7 linked regions of the Mus musculus genome follow. The main gene of each other region encodes a partner of the protein of the gene in region 2 in a complex. Links are inferred from orthologs where the notes say so. Each region holds a gene or a part of one and is shown on either strand. Other genes may lie near its edges. The genes, in order: Tfdp2, Rbbp4, Mybl1, Lin52, Tfdp1, Chaf1b and Cdk2ap2.

Evidence for each region.
Region 1: Rbbp4 (region 2) and Tfdp2 share a complex: the UniProt entries of both Homo sapiens proteins name them as parts of the DREAM complex. The link is inferred for Mus musculus from reciprocal best matches to the Homo sapiens genes RBBP4 and TFDP2.
Region 3: Rbbp4 (region 2) and Mybl1 share a complex: the UniProt entries of both Homo sapiens proteins name them as parts of the DREAM complex. The link is inferred for Mus musculus from reciprocal best matches to the Homo sapiens genes RBBP4 and MYBL1.
Region 4: Rbbp4 (region 2) and Lin52 share a complex: the UniProt entries of both Homo sapiens proteins name them as parts of the DREAM complex. The link is inferred for Mus musculus from reciprocal best matches to the Homo sapiens genes RBBP4 and LIN52.
Region 5: Rbbp4 (region 2) and Tfdp1 share a complex: the UniProt entries of both Homo sapiens proteins name them as parts of the DREAM complex. The link is inferred for Mus musculus from reciprocal best matches to the Homo sapiens genes RBBP4 and TFDP1.
Region 6: the proteins of Rbbp4 (region 2) and Chaf1b are in contact, whole or in part, in a crystal structure (PDB 7Y5O), measured with the Homo sapiens proteins. The link is inferred for Mus musculus from reciprocal best matches to the Homo sapiens genes RBBP4 and CHAF1B. Residues at the interface, in NP_005601.1 of Homo sapiens: Gly58, Lys59, Asp60, Asn88, Asp89, Asp90, Ala91, Phe93, Glu406, Asn410; in NP_005432.1 of Homo sapiens: Arg28, Lys48, Gly49, Pro50, Asp51, Gly52, Lys53, Lys377, Lys385.
Region 7: Rbbp4 (region 2) and Cdk2ap2 share a complex: the UniProt entries of both Homo sapiens proteins name them as parts of the nucleosome remodeling and deacetylase (NuRD) repressor complex. The link is inferred for Mus musculus from reciprocal best matches to the Homo sapiens genes RBBP4 and CDK2AP2.

The regions. Positions count from the first base shown.
Region 1 is NC_000075.6:96,194,931-96,199,074, reverse strand, and holds the start of Tfdp2 (transcription factor Dp-2), read right to left. Parts: upstream 2,801-4,144; 5' UTR 2,515-2,800; intron 1-2,514. UniProt on the Homo sapiens protein: Can stimulate E2F-dependent transcription.
Region 2 is NC_000070.6:129,325,371-129,328,870, forward strand, and holds part of Rbbp4 (histone-binding protein RBBP4), read right to left. Parts: intron 3,364-3,500; coding exon 3,218-3,363; intron 1-3,217. UniProt on the Homo sapiens protein: Core histone-binding subunit that may target chromatin assembly factors, chromatin remodeling factors and histone deacetylases to their histone substrates in a manner that is regulated by nucleosomal DNA.
Region 3 is NC_000067.6:9,669,210-9,672,709, forward strand, and holds part of Mybl1 (myb-related protein A), read right to left. Parts: intron 3,448-3,500; coding exon 3,331-3,447; intron 3,108-3,330; coding exon 3,003-3,107; intron 2,550-3,002; coding exon of another isoform or gene 2,370-2,549; intron 804-2,369; coding exon 675-803; 3' UTR 1-674. UniProt on the Homo sapiens protein: Transcription factor that specifically recognizes the sequence 5'-YAAC[GT]G-3'.
Region 4 is NC_000078.6:84,450,218-84,454,307, reverse strand, and holds the start of Lin52 (protein lin-52 homolog), read right to left. Parts: upstream 2,801-4,090; 5' UTR 2,796-2,800; coding exon 2,765-2,795; intron 1-2,764. Other genes in the region: Aldh6a1 (methylmalonate-semialdehyde dehydrogenase [acylating], mitochondrial isoform 1 precursor), read left to right, coding at 3,369-3,419.
Region 5 is NC_000074.6:13,337,358-13,341,550, reverse strand, and holds the start of Tfdp1 (transcription factor Dp-1), read right to left. Parts: upstream 2,801-4,193; 5' UTR 2,745-2,800; exon of another isoform or gene 2,631-2,744; intron 2,610-2,630; exon of another isoform or gene 2,111-2,609; intron 1,887-2,110; 5' UTR 1,824-1,886; coding exon 1,812-1,823; intron 1-1,811. UniProt on the Homo sapiens protein: Can stimulate E2F-dependent transcription.
Region 6 is NC_000082.6:93,890,401-93,893,900, reverse strand, and holds part of Chaf1b (chromatin assembly factor 1 subunit B), read right to left. Parts: intron 2,402-3,500; coding exon 2,305-2,401; intron 1,788-2,304; coding exon 1,703-1,787; intron 1,170-1,702; coding exon 1,076-1,169; exon of another isoform or gene 1,002-1,075; intron 1-1,001. UniProt on the Homo sapiens protein: Acts as a component of the histone chaperone complex chromatin assembly factor 1 (CAF-1), which assembles histone octamers onto DNA during replication and repair.
Region 7 is NC_000085.6:4,095,895-4,099,517, reverse strand, and holds Cdk2ap2 (cyclin-dependent kinase 2-associated protein 2), read right to left. Parts: upstream 2,168-3,623; 5' UTR 2,093-2,167; coding exon 2,011-2,092; exon of another isoform or gene 1,807-2,010; coding exon of another isoform or gene 1,785-1,806; intron 1,702-1,784; coding exon 1,601-1,701; intron 1,514-1,600; coding exon 1,381-1,513; intron 1,021-1,380; coding exon 953-1,020; 3' UTR 501-952; downstream 1-500. UniProt on the Homo sapiens protein: Acts as a component of the histone deacetylase NuRD complex which participates in the remodeling of chromatin.

The sequences.
Region 1 (4,144 bases), on a different chromosome or scaffold from region 2:
CAAATCCTAGCATTACATGGTGGCTCAAAACCACTCATAATGAGATCTGCCACCCTCTCTAGTGTATCTGAAGACAGCTACAGTGTACTTATCTATAGTAATAAATAAATCTTTGGGCCAGAGTGAGCAAGGACTGAACAAGTGGGGCCGACCAGAGTGAGCAGGGTTGACCAGAGTGAGCAGAGGTCCAAAAATTCAATTCCCAACAACTACATGAAGGCTCACAACCATCTGTACAGCTATAGTGTTCTAATATACATAAAAATAAATAAATAAATAAATAAACAAACAAACAAATCTTTTAAAAGTATAAAAATAAAAGTTATCTTGCAAACCATTTCTAAGGGTTCATTAGCCTTCAGAAATCCTTAAAGTCCTGTTATCACAGGTTAAGATAGAAAGGTATTAAAAAGCAAGTACATTTAGTTTTGGGGGGAGGTGTAGGGGGTTGTTTGTTTGGAGGAGGGCACAGGTGTGGAACAGTCAGAGGATAACGTTCAGGATGAGCTCTGTCCATCCACACTGTGGATCCCTGAGACAGACAGAGATAAGGTCAGCAGACTTGGAGACAAGCACCTTTACCCACCGAACCATCTCGCCAGCCCCAATTTATAGTTAATCATCTTTAAAACCCTTACAACCCCCAATCTAGTTTCTTCTGAGGGCCATCATGACACATACCAAAGTAAACCTAAAAGATGAAGAAAGGAGTGCACAGCCTATTTCAAAGTGAGGTCTTGTTACTGCTGTTTTATATTTCCGGGGCTGGGCGTCAATCTAGGTTTAGGTAATTACCCTACCACTGCGCTATTGATGCCCCAGCCCTCAAACCGTACTGGAGGTCAGTTAAGAATTTTGGCTGCAAGGGTAAAACCTGCACACGGCAAGGACTACATATTCGCAAGGGGCGAGGGAAGGGAATTACGGCCACAAAATAGTAATATGAATAACTAAAACTACTTTACTATGCCTGGAATTAAGGCAACAGAAGGGTTTACTAAGTCTCGGGACTTTCTTAACAAATGTTAAGTGCTGCATTCCTGACTCTGCAACCACATGCCAGCACTGGCTACTGACACCATATCTGCCATAACACTAAACTAGTTCCAAGGCACAAGATGTTCTAAAACTAACTCTGCCCAGAGCCAGTACACAAGCGTGACAGAACCTGGGGTCTGGCCGGCGCCTTTATCTCCTGATGCAATTTGAGAATGGACACTTACATGAATTCCAGCAATGGGATAGTGGTAAAGCCTTAGTAAATCGTAAGATAATCAGTGACTGGAAGAGGCAAGATGCAAAACAAACATTTTATACTCAACTTTGAATTCTGCCACAGTGGAAAAGAGGCTAATGACTTAAACCATACTGCCTAGTTACGATGACTTCAAACCATTAGGAGAACAGAAAACAAATGACCCAGAAAAATTCTAAGTCAAATGAAACACAGCAGCTGGCTCTGTAGAGGGGTGTTTTCTAACCTGTGGGTCATGACCCCTTTCTAAAGGGAGTCGTTCTTGCCTAAGACCATCGGAAAACCTAAATATTTACATTGCAATTCATAACAGTAGCAAAATTACAGTTATGAAGTAGCAACAAAATGCTTTTATGGTTGGGGTCAGGTCACAGCATTAGGAAGGTTGAGAACTGCTGGCCTAGAGGAGGCAGGATAAGGGGTTGGAGCCCCTTGAGATGAAAGGAGGAAAGACAGAAGTCGCCAAAGGCTCAAAGGTACTTTCAACGAATGCTATGGAAAAAGAATGCAAAGTAAACATTTTGCTAGGCCAGGCTACAAGCCTGGTAACGATTTCAGCCGAAAAGGTGAAACAACATGGGGTCCAGAGTCTCCTCCAGCATCCAGGGTTACGTTATGCATTTAGTAGAAGTGAGCTTTGTTTCAAGTGCATTCCGGAGATTAGCCCTTTTCTCTCTCCCAACACCCTCCCCGTCCTCGCATAGGCAGATGTGGCTCACAGATGAACAAACTGAGCCCACACAAAGCACCGGAACACGGGCGAGTGAGTGTCCACGCACTTCACTGTGCCACCTCTCGGCGGAGCCCACAGTCACTTTCCCGCTGCTCTGTGCACAGCAACCAGGGCCTTGTGCAGAATTCCTCCCAGAACTTGGGCCGAGAAAGTAACCTCTACTTGAAAGGAAAAGTTCTCTTGGGGGAACCTGGGGGTCTTCCAGGTAGGGAGAGCTTTGGAACTCTGCAAAAGCACCCCGCAGAAACAGACTGGAGGATGGTGGATCACGAAGGGAGGAGGGAAAGTCAGAAGATCTGAGTGAGAAGCCCAAGTCAGCCCTTGCCCTTCCTGATCCCGGGTGATGGCGAGCCCGCGGGCTCCGGAGCCTCATCAGGTATTCCAGGGTTGCTTGGCCCCGCTGCAGAGAAATCCTGAGGACAAGCTGAGACTCCCGGGACAGGGCAGGGGAGAGCCGGCCGGCGGGGGGCCACGCCCGGTCCAAAGGCCCCTGGCGCGCAGGCCCGCGCCCTTTCCGGGACCTTACCGCAGCTTGGTGCAGAGGGGCCGCCGCCGGTCCACACAGCCCTCGGCCCACTCCCGGGGAGACGCTTCTTCGCGAGCCGCCGCTCCTCAGGCAGAGCCAGGTCCGCTCGGAGCAAGCTCCCGGCCGCGCAGCCGCGGTCTTCGCGCGCGTCGGAAGCCTGCAGTGCAGGAAGGGTCAAGGCGCGCCCCGCGTGCCAGGCAGCGACGGCCGCACAGCCCAGCGCGCCCGACGCCGTCCGCCCTCAGCGACACGGCCGCGGCGGCGCCGCTTCCCCCGCGCTCGCTTTGGCGGCGGAGCAGCACGGTGAGCGCCGATTGGCCCTCGGCTGGCATGACGCGCGCCGACGCTCTCCACGGATTGGCCGGGCCGCAGTGCGTGTAGGGAGTAAACAAAACCCGCCCCCAGGCTCGCCCCCAGGGCCAGAGGCGGAGGTGGGCGGCGGGCTTGCGGGAGCCTGCCCTGGTCTTTTGACCTCCAAAGCCACTCTCCGCTAGGGGCCGCCCTGAGGCTCTGCCTGCCGCTGGACCCCTGCCACCTAGAGGGCAGCCAGGCTCGCCCTTCCCCCTCCACCACATCAGCCCCTCTCCTCACCTCCACCCACCACCTCGCTTCTCTCAGCTCTAAAGTATGGTTCTCTTTTCCATCCCATCTCTCGGAAAGAAACCGGAACTAGGTCCTTACATCTGGACCATAGACCTCTGATGGGCCACTGCTCCAGGAACACTCGGAAGGCAGAGGGATAAGTGACCCTGAGGCCACACGTGGACCACTGTGGAGGTTGGTCATGCTTCAATTCCTGGGAAAGTGTAGCAATAAATTAAGGCCAGATGCCTTAATTTCGAAGTTGAACCGAAAAAGTTGGAGGCACACACTCTCAAATACCCAGTCATTTATTAAGAAATTCAGGTTGGCTTAGTGGCTCATGTCTTTAACCCCAGCACTCCTGAGGCAGACACTAGCATATCTCTTTAAGTCTAAGGCCAGCCTAGTCAACACAGTGAGTTCTGAGCCAGCCAGGGCTAGACACTTTGACCCTGCCCCCACCCCTCCAAAAAAAGGTGTTTCCCCCTTTCAAGTGCATGGATCCTGTATGAACTGTAGCTAATGTGGACGTTTGGAAGTAAGATAAGAAAATCCGACTTTAAAATACTTTGATCTTTTTCATTTTAATTTCCTCATAGCTCTATGAGCCAAATACTATTTATGATGCTAGGGCTGTGTGTACAAAAGAGACAAAAATTCTTGGCATAATTGAGCTTATGTTCCAGTGAGGTAGGAAAGATGCTTCTTAAAGTTCTTTAAAAAAAAATTCAGTGGTGTGATAAGGGAAACAACTCTGAGAGGGGGCTATTGATGTAAATACCAGCCCCAGAGTGTCAGCTCATGGTCTGGGTGGCAGAGTCGGGAGTTTAGACCAACTGAGTCTACATGAGATCCTTTCTCAAAAACATTAGATAGATAGATAGATAGATAGATAGATAGATAGATAGATAACAGTGAGATCCTTTCTCAAAAAATGATGATGTACATAGGTAGAAACTAAGGCAAGCAGACAGAAAAAATGCATAATGAGGTGAGGAAGCCAAGAGCAAACACCCTTGGCTTTCTCTTTGGAAGATTTGGAGACTAT
Region 2 (3,500 bases):
CATCTTTCTAAACTAATAGTATTCACACATAAGGTTCTGTCACTCTGATTTCTAATGAGTCACTTTTCTAGGCAATAAATTTAGTGGAATCTCAAAGAATGTGTTTTAACAGCACAAACCAAATAATCAAATCATTTTTCCCACAATCAATCAATGAATTTTTATAATGTAGTTCATCTTTTAGGTAGGAGATTACTTACCTAATAATCTCTCAAAAACACTTTTTTTGTGTGTCTGTGGTGCTAGGTATAGAGCCCAGGGTCTTACAGATCCAAGACTAGTAAATTCTACCACTGAGATACAACCCAGCACTCAAAGTCTTAAACATTAGACATAACTCTGCCCATCGCTGATGAGATCAACAAAGTCACCATCCCCCACACCTTTTAAATACCAAGCTTATTCTCTGATCTGTAAAGTATCACTTTAATGGAGAGAAAAATAATGTATGTAACACTGGGGTATTGTGATAATCAAATTAAAAAATCCACAGCTGTTATTCATATCACTGCTTCTTTTTTGGGGAGGACAGAGAAGCCCTTTTGAGAATTCACTCAGGGACTCAATATGCAGACAACTGCCTTTAATGTATGATAATCCTTCCTCATCTGGCACACACCTACACCAATACACAAAGCTGATGTCAAAGGAAGCAGCTCACGGGGTAGAGAGCATGCTGACCCCCAACTCCCCAAAGCAAGATAAACATTCAGGGAACAGGACTAAATTCTAATCATAAACAACCAGCAAAATAAACAGAAAGACCAAAGTTTTATCAGTTAAAGTATTAAAAAAAAAAGATTATTTTGAGCTCTTTGGGACAGGAAAGCATTTCAAAGAATGACAAAAAAGTTGGAGGACTTTAGAGGAAAAGTTAATAATTTATAACTGTACAGTTTTTAAACAATAATAGAAGCCAGGTTTGCTAGCCTAATCCCTCCCAGAACCTCAGAGGCAAAGCAAGGATGACGATTCCAAGTTTAAGCCAGCCTGGGTTACATGAGAGCCTATTCAAAACCAAGTAAAATACAACACACACACACACACACACACACCCCAAGTTAAATGACCTTGGAGGACAGAGAGATGGCCAGTGAGTACAAAGTTTGCTATTCAGCAAGAATGAAGACCTGAGTTTGGCACTAACATAAAAGGCCAGGTATAACTTGAGGTTTTCCTGTAACCCAGGAATAGAGTATGAAGACATACATGCAGCCTAGCTGGCAGGGCAAGCCTCCAATTCAGCAAAACCATGTCAAAGGATTAAACAAGAGAGTGACAGAGGAAGGCCCTGACTTCCAAGTGTGCTGGCATGGACATGCGCACCTTCACTCTCGTAGACCACTCATGCAAAATGAGATTACAAGTTATTGAATCCAATTACAGAAAAACAAAGAAACCCACACCACACATTCTACCTACACTACCTCTTTCTGAGGTACCAATAAAAACCCTGAGGAGAGAAGAGGTTCTGAGTTCAATTCCCAGCAACCACATGGTGGCTCTCAATCTGTAATGAGTTCTGCTGCCCTCTACTAACAGTAGGTGCACATGCAGACAGAGCACCCATATACATAAATCTTAAAAAGAAAAAGTCCTGGGGCTGGAGAGATGGCTCTGCAGTTAAGAGCACTGACTGCTCTTCCGAAAGTCCTGAGTTCAAATCCCAGCAACCACATGGTGGCTCACAACCATCGGAAATGAGATCTGACGCCCTTTTCTGGTGTGTCTGAGACAGCTACAGTGTACTTACATATAATAAATAAATCTTGAAAGAAAGAAAGAAAGAAAGAAAGAAAGAAAGAGAGAAAGAGTCCTGTATGTAGTAAGTACTCAACCCCCTTAGAATGCCCAGCCTTCTACCCCTACCTTGCAAATGCATACCATTGTATGTGGTTTAGAATCCAGTGCCTTGTGCATGTCAAACAACTTACCCACTGAGCTCCATCCTCAACTTCTCCTTTCTGGCTGGGCATGGTGGCGCACGCCTTTAACCCAAGCACTCGGGAGGCAAAGGCAGGCGGATTTCTGAGTTCGAGGCCAGCCTGGTCTATAGAGTGAGTTCCAGGACAGCCTGGTCTACACAGAGAAACCCTGTCTCGAAAAACCAAAACCAACCAACCAAACAAACAAAACCCTTCTCTTTTCTGTTTGTAGTTTACTGCACACACACATTCAGGTGGATATGTACAAGCTCCTAACATACATAGTGACAAGAACAACTTTTGGGAGTCAAGTTCTCTACAGGGACATAAGTATCAATTCCTATCTAGAAAAAGAAGTATTTGTGAGCAGTTAGGGTATTCTCCTAAAAAAACAGGTTGCTGAAACTTTTTATGCATGTAACAGGTACCACAGTCATTTCCACTGTCCTAAGTCACTGAGTGGCTGAGAGGTGGTGGCACATGCCTAAGAATCAATCCCAGCCAGCACTTGGGAGGCAGAGGCAGGCAGATCTCTGAGTTTGAGACCAGCCTGGTCTAGAGTGACAAGGACAGTCAGAGCTACATACACAGAGAAACCATGTCTCCAAAAACAAACCATAATCTCGTGTTTTTCTCCCCACCCTAATCAGTTAACCTTCTAAGATGTTTTTATTAATCTGCCCCTAGACCCCATGGAATTATAGCAACAGACACATTGTATACTTTGGGTGCTGTGTAAACATTTTCTGTTATGATGGGAATCACTAGCCCCAGGCTGGCCACAACTTGTGATCCTCCTGCCTCATGTGCCTTAGTTTAAGAGATGTCAGAAGAGCAAGAAACACACACTACACATTTAGTCTGCATCTCATGTACCTGGAAAAAACCTAGGGGAGATGAAGAGATGGCTCAATGGTTAAGAGCACTGGTTGCTCTTACAGAGGTCCTGAGTTCAATATGGTGCTAGGGGGATGGCTTAGTGATTTAGAGCACTAGCTGCTCTTCCAGAGGGCCCAGGTTCAATTCCCAACGGCTCACAAATGTCTATAACCCCACTTCCAGGGGATCTGATATCCCTCCCTTACCGGCCTTCATAGGCACCAAGCACACAAGTAGTGCAGACATATATGTAGAAAAAACATGCACACATTAAAAAAAAGGTGTAGCAACCCACATCTATGAACTAATTTCTGTCTTTGGGTCAATGTCTTCCTGGTTAACCAAATTGTATACCTCCTTAATGAAGATATAACCCATATACCATTACTTCTTCCATCCCGGAAGAGTCCTACCTCCTTTTTCACTGTCATAATGGGATGCATCAAACTGAGCATCATCATTAGGGAGCTGGACACTGGCAATCACCAGGTGGTTCTGTTCATCAGATGTGTGTGTTCCCAGGACAAGCCGATGAATGCTGAAATCTTTCCCTTCAGGCCTATAAAAACAAATCACCATTATTTAAGTTGGTAACCCAGGATATCAGTCAGCAATGTACATGTATAACAAAACAACAAAACAAAAATCCAAACAATTCCATCTTGAGATAGTAAGAACTACTTAAAACAAACACAA
Region 3 (3,500 bases), on a different chromosome or scaffold from region 2:
GCTCCTATATACTGTACAATACATTCAACAAAATTCTCAGCTCTTCTGAGACTTATGAAGAAATACTGACTCTTTACTAGTAAGAAAAAGCCCATTTTCAATGCATTTTTAGTACTATGCACAAATAAATATCCTTAACACTGTAGTTAATTTCATTGTTTCTGAAAAATACCAAAATTAGTAGTGCAACTTCTAGCTTCCTTGAGACTCCTTCCCACTGTGTTTCTTTATGAATGGTAGTCTTAGTAAATCAGCACACATGCAAAAGTACTTCATAAAGCCTCTGTGCTTCCTAAATGTAGACTTTCAGAGGTCACACATACTTAACTTGTTTATAACAGACTACAGCCTTGAGACAGTAGCAACATATATCCTGTAAAGAAATTATGTGAGAATTTACTATGGAATATCCAGAAACATGCTTATTTTCCCATTTTGTTCTTTAAAACAAATTTTAAAACTCTCATTTCTTAAACATATAAATAATAAATTTGCCTACCCCTTACTTTAAGTAGCTTATTAGTTTTTTGCCTGTTCAATATAGAAAAAAACGTGAACCATTTTAGGGATGTATTAAAACCTTTAAAAGAATTAATTGAGACAAATTTCATTGCAACCTAATTTAGCATAAAATACAGTAAAGGGGTAGGGCATTTTATCAGCTTTAGTAACAGTTAGAGTATTAGAGCTCTTGATGTGCTGCTGGTAGCTGTGTAAGTACTCAGATATCTTCTCGCTTGTTCAGTCATGATAAGTTGGTCTTCTGTCTTCCCATATACCACTGTTTCCCATTCACAATTTGACTATGAAGGAAAGGTGAATAGAGATATGAAGATTAGTAAAATTAAATACCAAAGGGGGGGCACATAACATACGCGGAAATCAAGACAACTTTCAAAAGTTAGTCCTCTCATTCTGCCATGTGGGCTGCAGAACTGAACCCAGGCCATCAGGTTTGGCAGCTCTACCCACTAAGCCACATTGCCAATCCATACAACTAGACTTCCAAAAATCAATTGTTTTGTCTAGGAATTTTGTAAGTAATTGCATTAAAAATGTTTTGATAACATTGAATCTTTTTAAATGAGATGCTTTATTTTAAATACATACTAAAATATTTATGATAATTTTGTGTAATTATTACAATTATGTACACTGTTCACTGGCCTATAATGACAGTATAATAGTTTTGTTCCCAACAACTCCCCACAAAGCAAATGGATAATAGGGAAAAAAATAATCCCTTTTTGCCCTCTAGTTTTGTAAACAAAAAAAGGAGTTGGAGATGTAGCTCATTGGTAGAGTATTTGTCTAGCATGTGCGAGCCCAGGTTTGGACTCCAGTGCCAGAAAAAAAGAGACAGAGACAGAGACAGAGACAGAGACAGAGACAGAGACAGAGACAGACAGAGACAGACTAACTTAAAGGGAAGATCTAATGTTAAATGTGAACAAGGAGTGCACCTTCTTTGTTTTCTTCCTTATTAAAGAATAAAAGTTCCTATATTAATATATAAGAGCTACTATATAGTGAACTTTTCCAAGGAGCTCTAAGTTAACTAAACACCGGGAATTAAAAACATTTTAAACAACTAAGGGCATGTATTATGTCACTCTCTGAAAGCCATAGCTTAAGACAGACAAGTAGCTACTATATCTGATTGCCAAAGATGTTTTCAAGAAATGCTTAAATGTCAGAATTTACTCTGCATATAGTGTGGCATAAAGAAGAAATCTTCTTCTCTAATTTTCCTCTCTGGGAAAACTCCTAAAATAACAGGATAAGAATTTCTCTAGCCTTCATTTTCATCTATTTACTGAACACACAGGAATAGGGGGATTTTGTTTTGTTTTGTTTTGTTTTATAGTTTTAATCCACGAAGTTTATTGGGAGCCATTATACAAACAAAATCATGCTGAAATGTTTCCAATTACTTATCAGAAGTGGATTTAAATATCTACACACACAAAATAAATTAGGGAATCACCGAAGGGCCAGGCATGGTGTCAAAAGTCTGTGCCCCAGGATTTAGGAAGCTGAAGCTGCATATATGAGTTCAAGCTCAGCTACATAATGAGGTGAGATCCTGTCTCAAAACAACAACAAAAATGAGCAAAAAAAAAAAAAACCCAAAACAAACAAAATAGCCAAAAAATCTCCGACTACAGTTCCAGTTGTATAGACGACATGTGCACTGATGAATGAGTCTCTCTCAAACCCAAGCCTGCTTTCAGTGACAAAATAGTCATTCTTTGTTGTACTTGTCAATTTCAACTTTAAAAGAAAAAGGATAACTTGTGATCAGTAAGTTTAAGTGATCATTGACTAAACAATAACAAAAATCACTCAAGAAATTTATGAATCCATACCTGAAGACTCTTTTCCAATTTGACAGCTTTACAAGGGTTAGGGTTTGGTCTCTTTTTATTAAGTGTATATGTTTTGTTGGCTGAATTTATATCTTGTTTTTCAGGAGTCAAGTTGCACCTATTGTCATGTATTTCCAATAATGGTATCATTAATAAAGATGTTGTAAGAATATTTTCTGACTAAGAGAAAAAAGAAAGAGGAAAATAACTAATTCAAAAACAGAGACAAGAAACTACTGAGTGAATGGTAATAGAAGCCCTGCTCACTGCCCTACTAGGAAGCATCTGGCTCTATAATAACATCTCACTAAGTTCTATAGTAATAGCTTGGTAATTACATAAATACATTTCTAGTGCTATAGTAATATTTGGTAATTTCATAAAATACTAAAACTTAAAGCTTTATGAACCTCCACTTTTTGATATCATACAAAAATCTAACTTCTCAAAATAAAACAAGTTTAAAAAAATCATATATTCTTCACAGATAATAGATTCTCTCTGAACTAGGCAAAATAACCCTAAATTTTCTGTAACTCTCTTTTAAATTATCTGGCCAAGCAATCCATATGAAATGAGAACAATTATGACTTAAGACAGCCATTTAAAAACATATATGAATTCTTTACAAACCTGCATGTCTGAAATGTCTTCAGTTAGCAGTTGAGTCCCTGGTTCTTCTTTGTCCCAGCTCTCTAAGGCAAGGGATTTTCTGACCTTCTTCACAGATGCAGAGTGCTAAGAAAAGTAATTTACAGGGTCACATTATAGCCAAGTCTCTCCAACATGGTAAACACTGACTACAACAATACTGGAAGAGCTGGGATGGGAAGCACATCTGCAATCACCGTTCTCAGAAAGTGATGGCGGGCGTTTGGAAGTTTGAGGGCAGCCAAAATTACATAAAGACCCGCCTCTAACTAACTCTGAAAAGAAATGCATACACAATACTCAAGGTTACCTCCTGTTTGCAGCTTTTATAAGCAGGTTCATCTTCCTCTTTGAGGAATATATCTGTTCCAGTTTCTTCTTTTAAAACTTCTCGAATGTCTTCTTCCAAAAAGGCAAGTGGCTGGGACTAAATTATTTTTAAAGATTTTAAAAGGCAACGGCCAGAAATTCCTTCCCCAC
Region 4 (4,090 bases), on a different chromosome or scaffold from region 2:
CTCCATTTGCACGTAGGGAAAACCCCTTAATAGCGCTATGTTCAAAATCCACTTACCCAACCTTCTCCATCTCAAGAAACTGCAATGCCACAAACCCAAGTTCTTTGACTTATTTACTTTTCGTTAGTTTACATTTGTGTAGCATTCCATGGATTCTGGCCTTTGCACGATGGCTGCTACCATTTCTACAGGGCCGAGACTTATCTCTCCACAGAAGACTTATCTCTCAGCACAATTCTCTGCTTTTGTTTGGTCTGCTCCAGGAGTCACTGTGTTACTTTCTGATACACATAAGCACATCTCTTTGTCTTAGTAGAATTAAGTCTCCTCTCAGATACCAGCACCTTCAATTTGAAGAAGAGCTGGATGCTCTCTGCTTCTAGAACCTCACTTATCCAGCAAAAACTGGCCTTGTACCACAGTCTTCCAGATACTGGCTTTTAGAAATCCTGCTCCCAGGAGACCTCCACAGACACCAAGATGAACCCCAATTTTTTAAAAAGACAACAAAAATCTTACCAACACTTTTTTTTTTTTTTGCTAGTAAGAAAAGGATGTTTTAGCAAAAACAAAACAGAACAAAAAACAAACAAACAAACAAACAAAAAAACACCCAGGCTAGAGAATCTCTTTTGTTGTGAACACAACTTCTTTGGTAAGAGGCCAGGCATAGTGGTACAGACTTTTACTGGAGGCACAGGTAGGAAAGCAAGAGGATGGTGAGTCTGAAGCCAACCTGGGCTACACAGTGAGACCCTATCTCAAAAAAAGGAAAGAATTAGAAAGGAGGAAACTCTGGTATCCTTACTTTTGAATATAATCTAATCATCCTCTTTAGTACTAAAGACTGAACTTAGGGTCTTGGTCATGATCAACAACTCCCTAGTGCTGAACTACAGTCTCACTTCTTATTGTTCATTTTCAGATGTAGTTATGGTATGACTGTCTTGTCTTCATGGTATATATGTGGAGTACATGTGTGCTTGATGTTCATGGCGGTCAGATCCACTGGAATCGAGTCATGAGTCACCATGTAGATGCTGGGAATAGAATCCAGGTCTTTTGCAAAAGCACCAGGTGTTCCTAACTACTGAGCCATCTCACCAGCCCCCTGCATCCCCCTCACATTTTAAAAAAAGATTTATTTACTATGTACACAGTGTTCTGCCTGCATGTACACCTGCACACCAGACGGGGGCACCAGATTTCATTGTAGATGGTCAGGAGTCACTATAGGGTTGCTGGGAATTGGACTCAGGACTTCTGGAAGAGCACCAGTGCTCTTAATCTCTGAGCCATCTCTCCAGTCACTCCTCCCTTACTTTTAAAAATAAAACGTTTTATTTTAAGCTGTGTTATGGTGGTGCACGCCTCGGGAGGCAGAGGTAGGAAGAGCTCTGAGTTCAAAGCCAGCCTTGTCTATAGAGCAAGTTTCAGGACAGCCAGGACTATACAAGAAACCTTGTCTCAGGAAAAACAAAAACAAAAACAAAACAACCAACAAACTAAACCAACTTTTTATTTTAGACACGATTTGCCTACAATTCCCTCTACAGCCTAGGCAAGCCTGAAGCAACAAACCTCCTGCCTCAATCTCCCAAGCTAGAATTAGAGGTCACACACCAAGGCCAGTTTTACTTTTGGATAAACGTTAACTTAAAGCCAAATCCTTTACAGGCATTATTCTAAAACCTAGGATTAGCCGGGCAGTGGTAGTGCACGCCTTTAATCCCAGCACTCGGGAGGCAGAGGCAGGCGGATTTCTGAGTTCGAGGCCAGCCTGGTCTACAGAGTGAGTTCCAGGACAGCCAGGGCTATACAGAGAAACCCTGTCTCGAAAAACCAAAATAAATAAATAAATAGTAAAAATAAACAAACAACCCCCCCCCAAAAAAAAACCCTAGGACTAAATTAATGAAATAAGACAGAATTGGAATTTATAGTTGGGTGTGGCCCGGGCAAAGTGCAAAGTTAACAGAATAACTATATAAACTGAGATGCTGAATAATGACAGAAGAGCAATTCCAAATATTAAAGCAAAACCGCGAGCAAAAGCATACGGGTATATCAAGAACACCTATATGTCTACTGAGATGACTTGCGTCTTAGAAGACAGAATAAGCAGAATTGCTCCTGCCCTCAGCCTACGGAAACAACACATAAAGTAGAGGGGTGACGAGTTAAGGAAGAGTTGAGAAGCGTGAGAAGCGACATTAACAAGCCGAATTTTCACTCCCTCGGGACTCAGGGCAAGGAAACCAGGTCCCCGCACCTCCTGCTGCCAAGGCAACGGACCTGAACTGAGGAGACAAGCTTCTCTCTCTGCCGGCTCGGTAGAGGAATGAACCCTAGACCTCATGTCAGTCACCACTCACACTTCACAGCCATAGAGCTTGAGAGACTCATACGTACCAGCTCTACTGAGATGAGAACAGAACCAACACTCCAATGGGCCTGTTCAAAAAGAAAGTTCCCTTTCCCCTCAGCAGCTCCTTTTGAACCCTCAGCATCACCGATGGGCCGGAGCGACCTCTGTCCTTTTTCCCCCCATAGGGACTCCGGTTGATGGACTCCTTCCTAGTACACAGCAAGGAGACCTGGTACTAGGCACCTGCTAGCTGAAAAGCCGGCATACCCCAAAGGAGAAAAGTGGGAGAGAAAGGAGAGGGGCGCAAGAAAAAAAGAGTAAGGGTGAGGACAGAGGAAGTTCCCAGAGAAGCAAATAATGATACTACAGGCCAACAATCTCCAAGCCGGCTCTTACCGTCTGTGGGAGACGCCATCTTCCAGCCCATGTCACGTGACGTAACCAACCGTCGGCGGGAAAGCGAGGATCCGCAAGCCACGCCCCTAGCAGGGATAACCTATCCTTAGCTCACAGCCCGGTCTCGTTTCCCTACTTCATAGGGTAACATTTGCCTAGTCCCACCCCAGACAGCAGCCCCACCCACGGAGTGGTTAAAGTGGAACGCAGGCAAAATTCTTCAAGGACCTTATTTACTTTCCTTAGCAAGGGGGCGGGACCTTAGAGAGCCTACCTACAGCCAATCGGAGTTCCCGGTTAGGGGGCGTCTTCCCTGTGTGCTTACTATGCAGTACCAAGTCGAGGGGGCGTCTCCATATTTCCGCCAACAAAAATAGGATAAAGTGAGAGAAGCCCAGAACGCTTCCACCTTTGACCAATCACCTATTCCCAGGGGTGGGAATGATGGGTGGAGTCAAAGATTCCGACAAGTGATTGGTTATAGGAAGTGGCCCTTCCCTCCAATGGAGAGGCTCGGTCGTGTTCTGGGCGTGGCTTAACGGTGTTGCTTCAAGGGAGGCACTGGCAGCCGAGACGCAGGCGAGCTGGGCAGAGTCGGTGAGCCATGGCGGCGGCAGTGGCGGCAGCGGCAGCAATGCGGTCCCGGATCCTGCAGGCGAGTGAGGGTGGCGACGAGGGACCATGATGTTAGAAATGGGTCCTTTCCGCCCCGTCTCTAAACCATGCTTCTGCCGGACAGACTTCTTGGCCCAGCCCCTTCTTTGCAGCCCCTTGTGTTCCACCAGACCCGTGCGTCAGGGCTGTCACTCTGTACCGCCTGGCCCCGAGATTCAGCCCCGGACGGTCACGCCTGCTCCCCACTCCCCTTTACTCCTGAGCCTTTTCTTTTTTAGCTTTGACCCACCCACCTCCAGTCCAGCTCAGTCCTTGCTGTCACATGCTGGCTTGCTTTCTCTTTTTTGGTTCCTCCCACGGTCTCTCTTTCACCTCTGTACCAGCCACCTCTGTGCCCCAGAAACTCCTCCTTTTGGTCGCTGTACATAGAGTACTTTCCTTTGCCAGGAGCGTCCCTTCCCCCCATCCAGCCTCTATGTGAGGCAAGAGGGGATGGGAGCTCATTAAGGACATGGAACTAAGATCAGAGAAGGAACTTTGAATCTCCTAGACATGTACCCTAGGTTTTCATATCAAAAAGGCAGCCATTTGTTAGTTTTCACAAACATTCTGGCTTTTAGTGTTTTTCCCAAGCCCTGGGCCAAGTTAAACTTTCTCAGCGAAGTTAAACTTTTGGAGGTAAATAAGGGCATGTGGTTTTGCTAATACTGC
Region 5 (4,193 bases), on a different chromosome or scaffold from region 2:
ACTCCACTGCTCCGTGCCAGCTCCTGCCATCCCCATCCTGTCCACTGACAACTGCCTGCCCGGCTTCACAGCCCCGGTTCACAGTGAGCCCAACTTACCTGCTGGTCTGCCTGGGCACCAGCAGGGGCAGAAAAACCCTAAGTTATTTGTCTTCTGTCTGCCCTTCCTGCCCCTCTTCTGTGACCTCAAGCGTGACTTTTGTCTGTTCTCACCAGTGTCATGGCCTTCAGAGCCACATGTCTACAGGACCCTTTACAACCAGATTTCACTTAAGCATCAAGTGCTTAGAACACTTCAATGGTGCCTCTTTCTTTCCCTTCAGCATAAGTTACAAAGTCCCTTTCCGAACCCAAACATCACATCCTACTTAAAAACACAGTTGGCTACAGAGAAGACCCAACCCTTGACTGTCTGCAAGAAAACAGGGAGCGCCACTTCACCTCTGCCTATGTCTGTGCGCACTTGTTGGGGGACTAAGCTGCAGCATTCTGATACCCAGTCACAGCACTGGCCTAGCCACACCACAATGGCTAACCCCAAACCGGCAGCCGGACAGGAGCTCCTGACCACTTGCCTCCCCAGGGGACACTGCACACAGGAGTGTATAATGACAAACTAAGATGACTGGGCTTGAGTATGCTGACTCAGTGAAACTACACCATGCCATGTGGCCTCACAAAGGCACGGGAGCCAGCACCCCGTTTACACCCATTCACCAAATCTAGCTACTTTGTAGGCATGCGCTGGGTGGCATGTCTCTCATTAGGGCACTCGTGGGGACGGAGTCAGGACATGGATGTACATAGACAACAGATATAACGAGATCAAGCCAGTGCCATATGTAGTTGTGACTTCAGGTGACCTACACAAGGTCTCTCAGGGTGAGACATGACCCCCCCCCCCCCCCGGCCCCCAGGAGCAGGTCCGGTGCTCGATGACCAGAAGAGGGTCTGTTCCATGCGGGCCAGTCAGGACAGGACTCCGCACCTGCACCACGGTTCCGCTACACCTGGGCACAACTCTAGCTGATGCGGCATGTCTGCCTGCATTTCCAGGGCTGCACAGAAAAGGCATGAATCTAACAGTCACAGAACAGTGGACACTGAGGAACACTGGAACGGACACGATCAGTGTTGGAGGGAGTTAAAGCAATACTGCAAAAATGTATGTATGTGACCAACAATACAGACTGTATTTACAGCCTTAAAACCTAATTGTCCATACCTGTTTCCCAAAAAAACTTCAAAACGCTCGGTAGCTTCGTGATAAATATGAAGCTAAACCAACCAGCATTTCCACGGTGTTTCATTAATCACCAAATGTCATCTTTCTGAGAAAAATGTGCCCAAACAAGTAGTTGGGATTCAATCCATCAAAGCTGGATTACGGTCTTACGTACTACATAAAACTAGTACAGTGTAAGTTCCATGTTGACAGCTCTCCTGTGTGGAAACCCACTAACAAACAACACCCTCTCACACACTCATAACTGAGAGATGTATTAATTTTTTTATTTTATTTAAGCAGTTTAGATAAAGAAAAAAAAATCAAGACATCATCATCAAACCACGAAAAAAAAAACAAAAAAGAAAAAAAAAACGTGTCACGCTTCGGATGACAAAGACCATTTGTGCAGAGGGGAGACACCCACCTAACGACTCTCGCCATCATCCCTCATCTCCATCCCAGCTCCTGCCTGTAAAATGTCTTGGCCAACCCACTGCCACACACGTATGGCCACTCTCAAATAAAGGGAGAAAACTGCAACGAGCTGTGCCAACATGTCTGCAGCATGCAGCGACCATACTTACATCTTTTGCCATGTTACCAGATCCAGGAAATCAAGGCTTTAACTGCGTACCCTCCACAGAAGAAACCGTACTTATCTGGTTAAAAAAAAAAAAAAAAGAAAGAAAGAAAGAAAAGAAAAAAAGGGAGGGGATGAATAATGAATGAGAATGAGAAGAAATTTAACGCACATCGCATTTCAAAGGAAACATCTCCCCACCAGCACGAGGCAGAGGCAGGCCTCCAGGCAGCAGGGGCCTTTCTTGCACAATCCCGACAGGAGAGCTAGCCAAGCAGGTCCCACACGGGGATTTTAAGTCACCTCTCTAAATGGAAATGCTCCCTGCGGGCACCAGCAGCTCCCACCGGCAGCGGGGCCAGACCCCGGACCCTTGGCTGAGCGACGCGCAGCCGTCAGGCTCACCCCACCTGGGCACGCGGGCCCCGCCTGACCACAGGCCCCGCCGAGGCACAAGGCCCCCCACTTGGGCACACGACACTGCGTGGCTCCGCCCGGGCCGCGGCGGGCACCCCCCACCCCGGGCTGCCCAAGACCCCGAGGGGCCGCCGACCACTCTGACAGGTGGGCTCCCGGCCGCCCGCCCGCTCGCCCCACCTGTCACTAGGCCCAGCCACCAGCCCCGCGCCCTGGCGCGGACAGAGCCGGAGGGTGGCCAGGACCCCTGCCCGCCGCCCACGCCACGCCGCGTCGAGGCCGACTCCAGCTGAGGCTGGGCGGCGGGCGGGATGCGACCGGACGCGGGAACCGGGCTGGGGCGGGAACGGGGCCGCGCGCCCAGCCTGCGCCCTCCCGCCGCGACCGGCCGGTGCCCCCGCCACACCTGGCTGGCCGGCGGGGCGCGCGGGGCGGACGACGGGGGCGCGGAGGCGCCGGCCCGGAGGTCCGGCCCTGGCGGTCCCTGCCCTGAGCCAGCGGCGCCGGGACGCGGGCTCACCCTGGGCCGAGCGTCGGGCCGGCGTGACGTGCGCGCGGCGCGGTGACGTGGGCGGCGGCGGGCCCGCTGCGCGCAGCGCGCCTGCGCGCCTTTTCGCGCCTTCGGCGCCCTCCTCCTCCTCCTCCTCCTCCCGCCGCTCATCTCCCGCGCCTCTCGCCGGTGCTACCCGCCCTGGGAGAGGGGCGGGGCCTGCGCGCGCGTGCGCGTGCGGCGGGACCCGGCTGGAGACCGCCGACGCCGAACAGCGCTGCGCGCGTCTCCATGTGCGCTCGGAGAGAGGCCACGTGTGTGCGCGCCTCTGTGTGTGTGTGTGTGTGTGTGTGTGTGTGTGTGTGTGTGTGTGTGTATGTGTGTGTGTGTGTACACCAAGGGCCAACTGTATGCATATCTGTGTGCATGCGCAGGGAGTAGAGGGCCACGTGTTTGGCTCTGTGTGTGCGCGTGTACCACGCGCGCCAACGGTGAAAAGAATGTGGTGTGTGCCATACCTGCATGCACACGTAGGGAAAGGATCATGTGTGTGCACACCTGTGGATATGCAGAGTCTGACTGTATACACGTGTGTGTACATGGAGTATCAGTCGTGTGTGCACGCCTGAACATATATACAGAAGAGAACCCTCTGTGCAAACATATGGAAACCTATGTTAATGTCTGCGCACTGAAAAAAAGCAGGCGTGTGTGTACACATGAGAAAAAAGAGGTCAGTTCTGAGAGTGCTTTAAAGTACCTGCATGTGCACACAGGGAGAAGAATCTTGTTCATTTACACAGAACAAAGTAAAGACTGTTCGGATGCATACTGAACAATACAGAGACAAGATCCCCCACCTCTGCTCAACTACTGACCTCCACAGCCACATGCCCTGAGCCTGGGCTGTCAGTGATTCAGGGCAGGAAACAGCCTGTTAATCAGGTGTGTATGCATTTGCGCCTTTCACTTCAGAAACCTTCTGCTTCATCCCAAGAGGGGTCTGGTAGACCCTGAGCCTTGAAGACTCAGTCCATCTTAGAGGCCACTTCTTTAAGACTAAAGCTGGAGAGCCTGGGAGGAGAATAGGCTGGGGCTCACAAATCAGTCCAAATGGTTCAGATAAAATGACACAACGTTTCCCAAGAATATGGGACTGAAGAGCAGGGCAAAGTTAAGTACTATCAGAAAACTGTTAATGTGAGTGACCGGATTTTATTCTGGAGGAAAGGTCAATTTGACTCCCAAACTGACAGATCTTTCTCCGTTACCTGGCTGCCTCAGTCCCATGACTCAGCCCAACAGCCCTTCTTTAGCATCTGGCCGAACTGTCCGCCAGCAGCTGTCCTGTTTGAACACTGCTCAGCGGCTTTGAGGAAGCAGCCCTGCAACCACAGCTGCTTATTGCTGAAGCAGAAGAGGCGATACCCAGGCATGAGTGTGTCAATAGCTTGCACCAGAAATACCCAAGGCATGAGT
Region 6 (3,500 bases), on a different chromosome or scaffold from region 2:
AAAGTCAGTCTCTGCAGTGCTACGGCCCCCTGCTTTGGTCACTCTGTAATATTTACTAGCAGAAAACCAGTCCTCTGCCAAGAAGCTGATCTGGGAGTTTGAGGGATTTGGGTTTTGGGTGGAGAGATTGACTGATTTTATTGGTTTGGTTTTAATTTGTTTGTCTGAGCCAGGGTCTCACACATATCAGGCTGGTCTTGAACTCACTACAGAACCAAGGTTGGCCTGGGTCTTCTCCCACCTCCACCTGCCAAGTGTTGGAGTATAGCAAAATGCTACCACGTGTAGCTGACAGATTCACTGAGAAATTCCTGATTTCCTTGCTAAGGAATTGTGTCTCAGCTGTGAGGCATAGGACTGGATGGCGTTATCAGGCTGCATTCTAAACAAGCCACGTTCCCAAGCGGCAACACCCACCTTCTGCTCAGCTATAATGGGAACTGTTGCTTTTTTTTTCAACCTGAACAGAATAGCAACATCTAAGTTGCCACACAGTTCAGTTCTGCATTTGCCTGTTGGCGGGTATCAGAACCTGTCCTGGATGTAATCTATACCTTGCTTTCACTCATTGGTCTATCTGTGGTGCTAAGGGTTGACCCCAAAGCCTTACACACCTTGGACACACCTGACTAATGAGCTTCATCTAAGTCCTCAGTTTTTCTTTCAGGTTTTCATCTTTTGTGTTTTGTTTTCTTGCCAAGTGAGAGGGCCGAGGTATAGGATACATTGTATCAAAGGCACCAGGTGGCGCTTCCACCATGTGTCTACTGACTTAGTCTGCTACACCTTTACCATATGGAAGTTTTACATTCCCAGCCAGGCCTGGGCTGCACACCTGTGATCCCAGCATTCAGGAAACTGGGATAAGAGGATCACAAGTTGAGGATCACCTTCAGCTACCCGAGTTCAGCACCAGCCTGAGCTACGCGAGACCATGACTCAGAACAAATGGCATGCAGTAGTCGGTTGGTACAAGGCTTGCACCACCACTCCGCTCACACCTGCAGGAGCTGAAGTGAACAGAGCCGTCCCTGTGGTGCCATCACACCCCTATGTCACATGCCGTCAGGCACACCTGGAGTGAGGAGCAAAGATCCATCTGGAGTAAAGCTGAGTCTTCGGAAGAACGACTTCATGCTGTCGTCGTGAAACATCCGGAAACTTCTTGCCTGTGGTAACAGAGCTTGAAATCACCTGAAAGCCTCTAACCCTCCACAGAGGCTCACCACTTAGAACTGGCACGCCAACAAGGCAGTCCAAGGAGAAGCCTCATCAGTTGGCCAGCAGGTCGGGCAAGTGCCGTGATTCAGAGGCAAGGAAGGACAACCCCAAGACTCACCAGATCTCAAAGGGCGAGATATTTTATGCTGGGCTGCTGAATGGCTCGGAGGGTAAAAGGCACTTGTTACCAAGCCTGTTGATCTGAGTTCCCAGGACCCATACAGTGCACTAAGGGAACTGACTCCCGACCTTCAGAAGCACACTGTAACACGTGTGTGCATGTTCCTGTATGCGTACTTGCACTCTTAACACACACACATATTCTTGCACACACACTCACACATGTGCCCAAACGTGAATATCACACATACATATGCATGCATACACACATGCCAAAGGCATACTCGTGTGGGCACACACACACACACACACACACACACACAAAACACACACCCATGAAAAAATGATAAGTACTTCCTACCTCTCCTTCAGGCCCCTGTCCAGAGAGCATCTTTGAAATGTTGAAAGCCACACGCTTTTTCTGGGTATTATAGATCCGCAGCACCCTGAAGAAAGAGCAGTCTGAGTCCCATCCCAGCACGGGAACTGGGTCTCACACAGTAACAACCTACTGCGAGTCTGCGGCTTGTCCCCTTGAGTCAAGTGTGATTCAGTTTATTTGATGCTAAAGCTCTTCCTAACGGGGCGGACAGATGCACCAGTGGCTATGAGCATGCACTGCTCTTGTAGGGAAGCCCAGTCTGTTCCCAGCACTGACAGCTCCCAACTGTAACTCCAGCCCCAGGGAACCCAATGCCCTCTTCTGGCCTCCAAGAGCACCAGGCACACACCTGGTACAAAGACATACATGCAGGCAAACATAAGAGTTCTTTCTACATCAATTCACCCATCCGGTAAAGATTCACTGGTGCCAGGTCTGCACAGGGCACCTGGCCTAATTCGTCTCTAATTCCTGTCTTGTCAGAATAGCAGATCCAAACAAAAAAGCCAAAGCTGGACTATCGATCCCTTAGTAAGGTTGCGATAAAACATTTGCAAAACACGTTCATGTTACTTACGAACCTGTCACAGCTCAGGGTCGCAATATATTGACCCAAAGGATCCCAGGTGACTCCTTGCACATAACTTTTATGCTCGTTGAAAATGGAAATTTTCTGCCCTACAAAGAAGCACGAGAAAGTTATTATCAAGATTTCCAGGAAGCACGCTGCAGGAACCACAATGTTGGCACTGTCTCCTACGTCCTGTCTGCCACTCTGCAAGCAACCTCAGAGAAGCCGAGTCAGACTCAGGGGACCCAAAGATCACTCCACACAGCCCCACCCCCACCCCTGCAGCACTCAAGGCAGCCAGGATGTAGAGCAAGCATGAGGCTGTGTGGGTTCGAGAAATTAGGAGCAATATCAGAGCCCTCAGTTTAGTTCTCTGGGTTGGCTAGTATGGTGGTTTGAAAGAAAATGGCCCCACATGCTCCAAGGGAGTTGGTACTACCAGGAGGTGTGGCCATGTTAAAGTAGGCGTGGTCTCGTTGGAGGAAGTGTGTCTAGGTTCACTCCCTGCTGCCTGAGGATCCAGAGGTAGAACTCTCAGCTCCCTCTCCAGCACCATGTCTGCCTGTACGCTGCCAGGCTTCCCGCCATGATGATAACAGACTGAACCTCTGAACTGTAAGCCAGCCCCAATTAAATGTTGTCCATTATAAGAGGTGCCTTGGGCATGGTGTCTCCTCACAATAGCAACCCTGAGAAGGTAGGACGGGGGTGGGAGGGATGACATGCACAGGAGAATCCCTCACTCGCAGCTTAGACCCTGGATGGTGGCAGCATTGAACTGCTGAGATGAAAGGGAGGACTCAGAAACAAGATGGAAGGAAAGAGAGGTACTGCAGTCAGAGAGCTCTGTAGGCAAAGAGCAGGCCAAGACCAGCTAGCTGGGAAACGATCTGCGCTTCAAAGAGCGAGCTGAAGCCAGACCTGGTGGTGCACACCAGGTGAAGAGGAGGTAGGGGGTATCCAGGGTTCAAGGCCAGCCTTGGTTACAAAGAGCTTCAAGGCAAACAAACAAACCAGAGTTGGGAAAATATGAGAGGAGAAAGAGTGACAAGTTAGGTCACAGAAACTGAAGGATGGTTGGGCGAGGCCTGAGCTGAGCAGGCTAACAAAGGCCCTCAGCAGAGGAGACAGCAGCACAGAGCTTCCCCAGACCAAAGGGAAACACAGTTATGGAGCCTTAACTATGTATGTATGTGTGCACGTGCA
Region 7 (3,623 bases), on a different chromosome or scaffold from region 2:
CCACACCCAGCCTTGTGGAAGTTGTCAGGACAGTGGATAGCAGCATCAAGCCAAGGTGCTGGGGGTGGGGGGGAAGGAGCCTCTAACTGCCTCCCTTAGGAGTCAGGGACCCGGTGTATTTAGAGCCTTCCAAGGATGGTTTTAAAGCGGAGCTGGTGTAGGGGCATTAGGACGTTCACGGGAGAGGCTTAAGTGAACTGGTATTTCCACCCTGCCAGGCATGCCTGCCAATCTACAGGAAGGGCCCTTTAGGCTCCGGCTGTCCAATAGTGCCTCCAGCTGTGAAGGCAGCCAAGCCCTACGCTGCCCCCTGGTGGCACCTCCTTATGCAGACATCATTGGTGTTCTGTCTGGCCTTCAGCTGCAAGGCGCAGAGCTGGAGGTAGCAATGGACAAGATGGGAAGGCAAAGCTCGGTTCAAGCGCCCTTCCCAGTTCCTGCTCTGCCCTTCCCCTCTGCCCACTCAGGCTTCCCCAGAGGAACCACACACAGAAAGGCTGAGAGAATGACTCCAAAGCATCTTTTATTTATACAAAAAGGACATATTTAGTAAAAGACACACCAAAAAAAGAGTCGGCTGTGGCCCCAGAGATGAGGCAGGAAGGTCTTCTGCACTCCTGTTGAAGAGGCAGGAGGTGGCCTGGGCTAAGAGTTAAGGAGTAAGTGCTGTGTGGTGGGGCCACAGAGAGGAGCAAGCTCCCGTCAGATCAGCACTGTGAGCAGGTCATGGAAGGGACTCCCAGTGGCCTCCCAGCACTCCCACAGAGGGAGGAGACCAGTTTGTACAGCCAACTGGACGAAGATCTGCTACCTGGTTCCTGGAGGGTGCCCACTAAGGGACACAGGACAGGAAGCCCAGGATAGGAAGCAACTTGGGGCGCGAAGGCCAGGGAGAAGCAGGCGCTCTGCAGTGGCCAGAAAGGTCCCGGCGAGGAGGTCAAGGTGCTTCCTGTTACGTGCGGGCATTGCGTTCTGTCTCTGCCAAGCACTCTCTGACTAGTGCCCGAGCGTGGATGATGCCTGGGGTGCGGTGAGGATGGGGAAGTAATAAACAGGGCCCCAGAAACAGTCCACAGCCACCCTTCAGAGCAGACACTCCCCCACCGCTCCATGGTTCAGCAAGAGCACCTCTAATCTAATGAGGATGGATGGGATTAAGGGTTGGCTAATCCGAGTTCCCAGGCACCTTCTTGGAAACAGACTCATTTGAAAATGGAAAAGTTCATTTAAAACCCCTCCTTAGGTACACGTTCTGTTCCAATCGAGGCTGGCCCAAATGTCCTGTCCTGACTCTAGATATCCTCCATCCTTACTGAACTGTCTTAAAGTTCAGTGTCTGTGTCCTGGGCAGAGCAAGGGCAGGCCTGTGGCTTCACTTACCTCTCTTCAGGCGCTCCATGGCACTCTTGCTACCAGCATAGGTGGGCCGGATCTCTTTGCCCATCTCCTCTATGACAGACAGCAGGTCCGTGTAGGTGCTCTGAGAGCCCTGGGAACCAGGTGGCTTCATCGCCTGTGTCAAAAGAAAATACAGACGTGATCTCAGACCCCGAGGGGATCTCCTGTCCTCAGCCATAAGCAAGCTCTTGGCCACACTCACCTGTACATACCCCATGGAGGGCGGACCAAAGTCGTTAAACAGCGGTCTGAAAGGTGCGGCAGCTCCTGGCACTGAGCCCGATGGCGATGGGACACTCCCGGCTGCAACGACACCAGCAAGAGGTCAGAGTGTGACAAGGGCCTCGTCACAGATTTCCAAGCCCAGGACTGTTCCCTTGACTAACCTCCAACGGCATGCTTCTTCATTCCACTCTGAACAACTTCGGAGACACACTCCTCCCCCCTGCGCTCCACCTACAAGCTCTACGTGACCACGCCCACTTCTCAGGCCAGCAAACTGAGGCTGAGCCAGGCTCGTCTAGCAGGCCCCGGATTGCAAAACTCGAGCGGTTTCTCTCCAAGACCTCGACTGCCCGGACAAGGCGAACAAGGATGGAGTTGGAGCCTCACCTGTAGGGACCGGGGTGCCTGGCCCGGGGGTGCTGGAGCCCGGGGTACTGCTGGGGGCGGGCGCGATAGGTTTGTAGGACATCCCAACTCCTCAGTGCGGCGGCCGCCAGCCGGCCGCTCCTCTGGGGTTGGCTGTCCGGCAGCTCAGCCGCACTCTGATTGGCAAGCGAGCTGCACGCCCCTGGTAAATAGAGCTCCGGCCGGAAGGGTGGGCGGGCACGATCGGTCCTCACTCTCGATTGGCGCGCTCAGCTGTCACTCGAGCCTCCTCATTGGCTGAATCTTGCCCCCGCAGGGCGCAACCGCTGCCGATTGGCCTCCACCTTCCGGACCTCGCACCTGTCTGCCCCGGATTGGGCGGTGACAGTCGTCCTCCTCAATTGGCGAGTTCGGGGCCCGGGGCCGGCGCGCTTTCAATCCGATTAGTCCCGAGGTCCAAGAGGCGGGGCCTCGGCAGCGGGCCAGTCTGGTCCCCGCGGTTTGCTCCGGTGGTGTGTGGCGGGCCGCCGAACACACTTCGTCCTCACCGCTTCGCGACTTCCCTCCGCTCAGAACTCCCAAGGCCACGGCTCCCACAGTGTGAGCACTCCGCCCTACCCCGAGCGTTTTACGTCACCTTTCACTGGTTCCGTGTCCCCCCCCCTTCGGCTGTGCGCATGTGCGCGCCTCAGGCCTGTATTTGTTCCCATGGCAACGGTTCCCTCACCAAAGTCATTACCAAGCTCCTTCTCTGGATTGGTTTGAATCTTCGGTCTAGGCAGGTGGGTCCAAGGCAGCCAACGACGCTGCTCGACACTGAACCCTAAGTCCCCTACTCTCTCCACAGACAATGATAGAGCATCATAGATCAAGAATTGCGTTAGGTCAAGTCAGGACCCTGGTCAAGACCCTTGGCTGGAATCTCAACACCTCATTAATGGTTTCCTCCTGGACTCTTTTTGGCGGGTGGGATGAGATTGAGACAAGGTCTCAAGTAGCCCAGTCAGAACTCGAACTCTCCGGGTAGGGGAGGGTGACCTTGAATTCCTGATGCTCTTGTCTCGGAAATGCTAAAGGATTACAGTCACACGCCAGTTTCTTGCCCTAATAGGTTTCCGTTTTCTCATGAAACATGAAGACAGTAATACCTGGAAAGTAAACTTGGAAGTGGGTAGAGAAATAGAGATGAGAGCCAGCCCCATATGGGTTGAAGCATGGTTGATTATTGTTCTGACGTCATTAATGAAACTCCCACCTGGGTCTGGCCATCTAGTTCCTATTTCCTTGAAATCAATTCACTTTAAAATTAAAATAAAACTATTTTATGTATACGAGTGTTTTGTCTGCATATATGTCTGCAGAACTGCTGCTTTAGCCCTCAACTCACTTTTTAAAAAAGCGACTGCAGAGATGGCTTAGCAGGTAAGAGGACAGGCTGCTCCTCCAGAGGACCCAGGTTAGAATTCTAAGCATTTACATAAAGTGCCTCAGAACCATCTGTAACTGCATTTCCAGGGGGCCCAATATCTCTTTCTGTTCTCAGTGGGCACCTAGCAAGCAGGTAGTACACAAACGTACAGTCAGAGAAAACACCCTAGACTTTTTTTTTTTTTTTTTTTCTGAGAAAGGGTCTC